2 linked regions of the Rattus norvegicus genome follow. The protein of the gene in region 2 interacts with the protein of the main gene of each other region in a biochemical or structural test. Links are inferred from orthologs where the notes say so. Each region holds a gene or a part of one and is shown on either strand. Other genes may lie near its edges.

Evidence for each region.
Region 1: the proteins of Tln1 (region 2) and Itgb3 form a complex in vitro, tested with the Homo sapiens proteins (6 studies listed by BioGRID and IntAct, with this or other methods). The link is inferred for Rattus norvegicus from reciprocal best matches to the Homo sapiens genes TLN1 and ITGB3.

What each region holds. Positions count from the first base shown.
Region 1 is NC_086028.1:90,008,232-90,012,737, reverse strand, and holds the start of Itgb3 (integrin beta-3 precursor), read right to left. Parts: upstream 2,812-4,506; 5' UTR 2,802-2,811; coding exon 2,726-2,801; intron 2,275-2,725; exon of another isoform or gene 2,241-2,274; intron 1-2,240. UniProt on the Homo sapiens protein: Integrin alpha-V/beta-3 (ITGAV:ITGB3) is a receptor for cytotactin, fibronectin, laminin, matrix metalloproteinase-2, osteopontin, osteomodulin, prothrombin, thrombospondin, vitronectin and von Willebrand factor.
Region 2 is NC_086023.1:62,606,990-62,610,796, forward strand, and holds part of Tln1 (talin-1), read right to left. Parts: intron 2,209-3,807; exon of another isoform or gene 858-2,208; 5' UTR 825-857; coding exon 695-824; exon of another isoform or gene 501-694; coding exon 403-500; exon of another isoform or gene 1-402. UniProt on the Homo sapiens protein: High molecular weight cytoskeletal protein concentrated at regions of cell-matrix and cell-cell contacts. Involved in connections of major cytoskeletal structures to the plasma membrane.

The sequences.
Region 1 (4,506 bases), on a different chromosome or scaffold from region 2:
AACATTTACTTCATTTGAGCCTGTGTCTCATTTAGTCTGCAAACGAAAGGCACTGTTTCCACTTTACAGGTGAGGAAACTGGACTAAGATTGACGAGATCACACGGTCAATCAGGGGCAAAGCCGAGGATCAAACCTACATCCCACTTGCTTAAATCCCAGCTGCCCCTTTCCCCAGCAAAAAGCCTTTCCTCGTGTCTCTGAGGTATCCTGAGGGCCTTAGTTGGACAGCTCCCAGAATACAGACTGGAGAAGGGAACTAAGCACCTCATTATTGCTGACCTAATTAGGTGAGAATACACTACCAAGAAGCCTGGAAACAAAGTATTCAGATGAAGCTAAAAAGATTACTTTTGTACATAGAAACTGAAAGTCAGTCTCCTCGGGGCAGAATCTCCTACTGGGACAGCCCTCCTGTGGCACCTCACTTCCACCCTGTTCTGTGTCCCTTCCACACTGTGTGTCCCCAAAGTCACCACATCACCTGCTTCCCCAGGGACCTAGTGATGTTTGCAACTCTGCCACCAACACTGAGACGGCTTGTATGACAGACACTTCTTTTACAGGGTGCTCTAAAATCCTCGGTTCCTCAGCAGGACTCTACACCCTCTCAGAGGGAGTCTGGGGCTAGCTTACCACAAGCCATCACCTCTTTAGATTATTCCAATCACAACGACTCTGATATCCTATAGGTTTCGTTGTTTGTTGGTTTTGGTGTGTATACGATTGTGTACATGCATGCACAAGTACATACATGCTCATGCACAATTGTCCCTGGGCAGAGACAAAAGACAACCCTGAGTGTCATTCCTCAGAAGTATCACTTAATTTGAAACAGGATCTCTTTCTATCCTGAGCTTTCCAAGTAGGCCAGGCTAGCTAACGTGTGAGCCCCAAGGATCCATCTGTCTCTGTCTTCCCCGGGCACTGGAATTACAAGCACACCACTACATCAGGCTTTTTTAATAGGTTCTAGGGACAGAATTCAAGTTCTCCTACTTTCCCAACCTAGGACTAAAGGATCTTTAAACCCAAGCTTAGGAATAGCAGGGTAGTGTGATCCTATAAGGAGCACTGCAAACCAATGAGGGGTTCAGGAGAGGTGGGAAGAGAGTGAGAGACCGAAATAACAGATACACTTCATCTTCACTGGAGCTGAACCGTGCACTGTGCTATAACTTTCTTCTCGAACTACAGATGATGATGATGATGATGATAATGATGATGATGACAACGATGGCGATGACAATGACAACGATGACAATGACAACGACGACACTCAGAAATTTGAAAGTTAGAGATACAAACAAACTACAAAATGTTTCAAATATAATCTCAAAATAGCCGTGAAGAACTGGAAGTTGCCTAACACAAAAAAGACTAGCTACCTTTTGTACAGTGTATCTGTTGTCTGCAAACACACTTTCCTGCTGTACACAAGCAAAGCCTGTCATTGCATGCCAATTAAAACTTGAGAAGTAAAAATTTTTTAAAGGCTTTAAGTTCATAAAAGTTTGCCTATCTGTTAGAAACATCAGCTTTCCTGGTGGATTTCCCCATTCCCCATCAACAGCTACAAGGAGCTGACAAAAAGAAACTCTAATATCTCCAGGGCAGAATGCTGGAGATCCCGGTTCCCGTTCTGTGATCACGAAGCTTGTTCAATGTAGGCTAAAGACCGCGGTTTTCATCTTTCACTTGGAAGCTTCAACAACACAGGCCAACCATCAGTTCTGAAACCCCTGCCCCTGTCCCATGTCTACGTCCATCCGTACCATCAGAAAGGGGTCTTCAAGGTAGCCACCCAAATGGTTTTTTTTTGTTGTTGTTGTTTTTTTGTTTTGTTTTTTTTTTTAGATTGCTTAACCCCAAAGGCAACGTAATAAAGTTTACCTTTAACAAATAGTCAGTCTGGAGATGTAGCTCAATTAACAGAGTGCTTGCCTGGCATAAGGAGGCCCTGGGTTCAACTCCCTGCAGCATTATATGCCCTGAGAGGTGTTACAGATCTATAATCCTAGCACTCAATAGGAGGGGCACAGGGGAGTCTAAAGTTCAGGGTCACCCTCGACTACACAGAGTGTGAAGGATCCTGAAATATATGAGACCGTATTACACACGTGTACACACACACACACACACACACACACACACACACACACACACACACACACCATCTGCAGGGTTTAACTTGCTCCAGCTGACCTGGAACCTCAGTTTCTCCACCCCAGGCAACATCACCTCCAGCTCCCGTAGGACTCTGCGGACTGCATCACTCCCGTTCCCCGCAGCATTAATGAGCCTGAAAGTTGAAGATTCAGGCAGCTGATGGTGTGGGTCACACGCAGGAAAAGACAAAGCCAGCCCCGAGGACCTCTGTGCTGACTCCCTGCACACAGTCAGGGAGCGCTGGTTGAGAGGTCGGTCCCAGAACGAATGGAGCCCGAATCTTGTACCTCCTTAACAGAGGAGCAGCCAGAGGAACAAACTCGGGGGAGGTGGAAGGGGCAACCCAGAGCGCACACACCCACCCAAGCAGGTGAGCAGCATCCTTCTGCCGGCGCACCCGGACGACCCAGCAGAGCCCCATCTTGCCCCTGCTCCCCGGGCCAGGCCAGGGTCTCTGCCACCGTTGATGCGCCCTCGAGGCTACCGGAGGAAGGACCAGCTTCTCAGCCCCAGCTCCCACGATCCCACCGCAGTTCCCACACCCGCCGCGCGCTCACCTCCGACGACAACGCCCGCCAGCGCCCCCAGCGCCAGCAGAGTGGCCCAGAGCTGTCCCGGCCGCCGCGTTCGCATCCTGTCCACCGCCCTTCGCGCCGCGCGCGCGCGCCACGGCGAGCTGGCGCCCGCGGCTGCTTTTCCTGCCCCGGGAGGGGAGGGGACGCGGTGGGTGGGACACAGCGGGGCGGGCCGAGAGCTAAAGTTCCCTCCCTCCGGCGTCCGCCTGGACCCTGCCTGAGGCTGCGAGTGTGATGGGGAAATTCATCGCGCCTCTCTCCAGAAATCTTCCCCAGCCCTCCGCCCACTAGGATTCGCCTGCGTTCGCTAGAGGACATCGCGCTCCTGGCGTCCTGTGTGCATCTGGGTCCCAGGTGTCTGCACCTGGATGCTTGATTTAAAAAAAAAAAAAAATAGTAGCCTTGGGCCACTTCCTGAACTCTGTTAGTCCCACCTCCGCAGAGACATCAACACTGCTATTTCTCTTTGCTTTCCTCCAGTTTTCGTTCTTTCCCTCAGTCACTCAATGAGATCACAGGCAGCTGTCAAATGCTTTCCATGCAGCCTGCAAGCGTGTTAGGAAAGATGGATCCGTGCAGAGCCTCTGTCTATAAATGCTTGCTTGCATGTTGCTGGTGTCTGATAACTACTTCAGAACAGTCACTGTATTGCCTCCAAACTCTAATTCACTAGCTCTGTGGTATTTTCCTCAGAGACTGCTTGGCTGTTGTTCCTATCCCTACACTAGTTCCTTGGGTCTTCCCCACCAGATAGGAAACCTTTAGAAGTGTGAAAGGTGCCAAGTGCTGGAGCTGAAGAGGTGGCCACAGGAAGTGGCTGGACCTGTGAGTCCTGACGTAAGAATGGTAGTGTTGTTTAAAAAAAAAAATAGAAGTAGGGATGGTGATGTGGTGCAATCGGAAGGCACTTGCCTAGCATGCGTTGGACTCCATCCCCAGCACCACATCAAACAGAATGTGATGCCCAGAATTCCAGCGCTGAGGAGGCAGGAGGACCAGAAGTTCCAGATAGTTCTTGAGTACACAGGGAGTTCAAAACCAGCCTGAGCTATAAGAGACCATGGAGGAAGCGTGTGGGAAGAAGAGAGACCTGACACCTAGCCATGATCCATCACCTAGCCTTTCCCCAAGAGATTCTTGTCACTCCTAAATGTTCCATGCCTTCCCATCTGACTGGCCTTCCTTCCTCTTTCCGTTTGGAAAATTCCACTTACTTTTCAAAACATCTCAAATGTCATCTGTTCCGTGCCATCTTGTCTAATGTTCCTCCTCGTCCAGCCTTGTCGTCTGCAGAGGTGGACTCTTCTTCCTCGGACCTCTCACACACCAGGACACTATATCATTCCATGTCACAGGTATGAACTTTATAACTGTATAAATTCATGGAGACAAGTGTGTTTTCTACGGAACTATGACCTAGCGTTTTATTACTCTACCCAGTGACTCACAGCAGAGCATGCCGCAGACCCAGTACTAGGGTAAGGCAGAAGGATGGCAAGTTTGAATACACCCTAGGCTACATAACAGGAAAGCATCCCAAACAAACTAATAGTAATGGTGAGGCTAGGGAGATGTGGCAGTGGGTAAGAGTGCTTGCTGGACCAACATGCGGGCCTGGGTTCAAATCCCCAGCAACCACATAAAAATCTAAGCATGGGCATATGCTGCCCTGTAACCCCAGTGCAATGGGGAAGAAGTGGGGAGACAGAAGGCTGCCTGGCAGCTAGCCCAGCTCCAGGCTCAGTGAGATACCTTGTCTTGAG
Region 2 (3,807 bases):
AACTGGTTCTCTTTCCCCAGCCAAGGAGAAGGAAAGGAAAGTAAATTACTAAGTGGAAGACTACTCCAAAAGGAGGCCATTTTGACTGCCTGTGTCAGAAAGCCACATGTGCTGGCCCGGTATGTGAAAAGCCCAGGGTTCAGGGAAGGAGCTGGTATGTGAAAAGCCCAGGGTTCAGGGAAGGAGCTGGTATGTGAAAAGCCCAGGGTTCAGGGAAGGAGCTGGTATGTGAAAAGCCCAGGGTTCAGGGAAGGAGCTGGTATGTGAAAAGCCCAGGGTTCAGGGAAGGAGCTGGTTTGAGGAAGGAAGAGAGAGGAGGAGCAGACACAACATGGGTGCTGGGAACAAGTGAGACAGCAGGTAGAGAGCACGTGGGTGGCCAATGATGATGGAGTTACTCACCCCATTTCGGAGCATGTAGTAGTCCAGAGCTTTCCCAGCCTCGAGCCAGATACCTTTTTTGGGGTCATCATCTGACAGAAATAGCCCAAAGTCGCTGGCTAAAAGAGATGGTAGATCACCTTAGACTTACAAAAACTTCACTGTGGCCAAACAGCCAGACCTCTCTCTCCCATGATCTTGGAGCACAGGTCTGAGGGGTGAGGAACTTAGAACACAATGGGGACACTGCTCAAGACCAAGAGAGTAAGGGATGAAGGATTCCTGCCCCCACCACCTCAGTAGTCAGACTCACGAGGGCCAGCCAGGGCCTCTGGGATCCGCTCACGAATCATGCGGCAGGCATCGTACACCATGGTAGACGGCTCAAACTGCATCGTCTTCACCACGTTCCCAATGCTGATCCTCAGCGAAAGCGCAACCATGGTGGCAGCTTCTGCTCTTCGGCCTGGCGATACCTGGCCAGCAGCACCAGAGCATTAGAACACACCCTCAGTGGAGTGACTCAGAGTCCCAGAGAGACTTTTAAGGGAATCACCATGACAGAAAACAATAGTAAGTTCTTTTGTCCTATGAATTTCAAAAGGTGAAGACCACTTAAGACATCCCAGAGAGAAGCTGGTCGGTCTCTATAGAGACAATAGCAGGCCTGAGATGCAGTGTCAGCTGAGGACACTGTCCTGCCTGCACCACTGGAATTCGTGCCTCTCTGGTTCCAAGTGCCTTCCTCGGCCTCTTGTTTCTGTTCACGTCTTTCCCCAACCCGCCTCTGCCTTGTCTTTTCCTTTTCCAGGGTCAGTTTTTTCCTTTTCCCTGCCCTGGGATTTCAGGGATTTCAGAGCGCGACGCTGACCTCATGTGGCCTTCCCTCTTACAGGTTCGCCTTCTTCTTGGCAAAGTGCAGCATCCCGGGGGCTCCTGAGTCCTGCAAACTTCCTGTGGCAGCATGCCAGGGAGACCTACTTGTATCCCTGCTTTCTTCCAACCTGAATCACGGTACAATTATGACTCTCTGTCCAGAGACCTCGGAAATGACCTAGTCAATACTTCTTGGAGAGGAGAAAGTTTCAGGGCCAACAGCCCAGACACTGAGACTCAAGCCTTACCGCAGTCTCTTGTACTCTTCTCCATCACACTGTCACCATCTTAACTAGGAACCCAGGTGATGCTTTCAGCGCAGCTCAGTGTTTGCAAGGCCAAATTCCCTCTACCTTTCAGCACCATGAGCAGCAGGTGGCACGCAGCCCCAAGATGACAGGTCTGCCCTGATGCTTGACCCAGTGTGCAATGGGACTAGGTGCCTCTTAACTAAAAAAGGAGGGAATGTGGCCTCCCCACTCCTCACCTGACAAACGGCTAGTCCAAGGGGGAAAGCAGGACTAAGGGAAAGACTAGGAAGCAGGCAGGTACCACAATACAGAATCAGGTACATTAGGAGGGGCGGGGCAGAGGAAAAAGACACTAGGAAAGGTGGAGTGGGAGAGTTGACAGCCTTAAGAGAAACCAGATCCAGATGTAGGAAACACCAGGGTCACTGACTAGGAGGACATTCCTGACCACATACACAGTTCAGGATTACAAAGAAAAGCAGCATAGCCTGCACTCCATCTTTACCCCAATGAAAGCACCTCCCAACCTCCTCAGCCTCTCTGCCCTCTCCTTGCTCCTAGGGGAACCTTTCCAGCAGTGGGACAGACCTGGCTGTGGAGAGTGAGGGCTGGTCAGAGAAGCAGAGTCCAAGGAACCAGAGCAGGACTGAAGGACTTCAGCCTAAGCTGAAAGTGCATGTGTGCCCCTCCGCCCCCATTTCCTCCGGACATATGGATACCCACTTCTTCCTCTGGTAAGGTCCCGATAAGAGAGTTGAGTCATGCCTGTCCTCCTCCAGGCTGAGTAGCTATCTATACAACTAATTGAGTGTGAAGGAAGTCAAGGAATTGGACATTGAGTTGGGACCAGCAGTGGCAAAGAACAAGAACCCTGGGACTAGGAGTAGAAAGTACCTGCTTCCTGTCTGGATCTGAGAGCCCTGATCCCTCTCTATCATGTTTTATCAAGAGCAACAACACCCTCCTCATGTCCCCCTTCCCAGAGACTCCTCCCCTCAATACATTCCTCAGATGCATTCCAGACGCGTTGGGCAATTGGAGGGGGGTGTGGAGGACAGGAGGTCAAATCCCAGCAAGGAATGGAATGCAAGTATACTAGGGCTAAGGAATTTTGGGGTACATGGAGAATATCACTAGTGTAGGTACCTACAAGGGGTTCTACAGAAAGATAGGGAGTTACAGGGGACAAAGGGAGAGAGAAAGCTGAAGACAGAGTCAGAATGTAAGAGGGTTGGGGGAATAACACTCAGTCTGTTACCAAATTTGGCCTCTGAGTCCTCAACCGCCGGGAGGGGAGGGGAGGGGGGAGGAGCTTGTGGGTGAGACTGACATATCCGGCCCCAGGCTGCTGGAGGCTCATTTTGGGCTGGACCGGGCAGCTGAAGGGCTGGGTCTGACTTCCTTCAACACAGGGTCTGTGTTCATATCCACACATGCATTCTCATTCTCGCCAAGGCCCCTCAGCTTATACACAGGACTGACTCCTTCCCACAAACTGCCTGTGCAGTCTACACGGATCTTGTCTGGTTTCACAGCCCCTACAAAGATCTATCTTTTTGTAGGTAGCACATGCACACACAGTTTCCCCACCAGTGCACCAGGCCCACTGCCCAGCTCCCAGTGTCTTGCCTTCCATTATGTGCCTTTTCCCCCATGCATTCTGCACGGCCCACGGTGGGAAGGCCCGAGGCCAAACTTTCAGTGGCCAGGAAGCTCGTTGAGATGAGTAAGATCTAGACTCTGCTTTCTGTAGGTTGCCAGCCTTCCAGGTGGGTGGAAAAGCTAAATACAGAGCTACTGAGAAGGCAGGCTGTTAAAGGAGCCAAAATGTGTACATTCGGAAAAGGGATCCGTAGGCTAGGGAAGGGGGAGTGAAGGATCCATGAAAGCTATCATTTGAAGTTAGAATTTTAAGAACATGAAGATAGTAAGAAGTAACAGCGATGTGTCATTTATTGACTATACGTTAATTGCAGTATACACATAATTTCAGTTAACCCTTACAACAACCCTGCAAGGTAGGTGTCATTATCTCCGTTTTTACAGATTAGGAAACCGAGGGAGGCTCCAGAATGTTAAATGCTTTTCCAAAGTACTTGTCCAAGTAATAAGGGTGAAGCCAAAATCCAAACCCAGGTCTCTCTGCCTCCAGAGCCCCAGCTCTCTCCATTAGGTCAGTCGAAGATGAGTCAAAGGTATCGTCCCAGGCACAGAGAATAGCATTAGCAAAGGTGGAGAGGCAGGAAATCGTGGAGGAGCGCCCAGGAAAGTGAGTAGGCAAGCTGGCTGAAGAACGGGG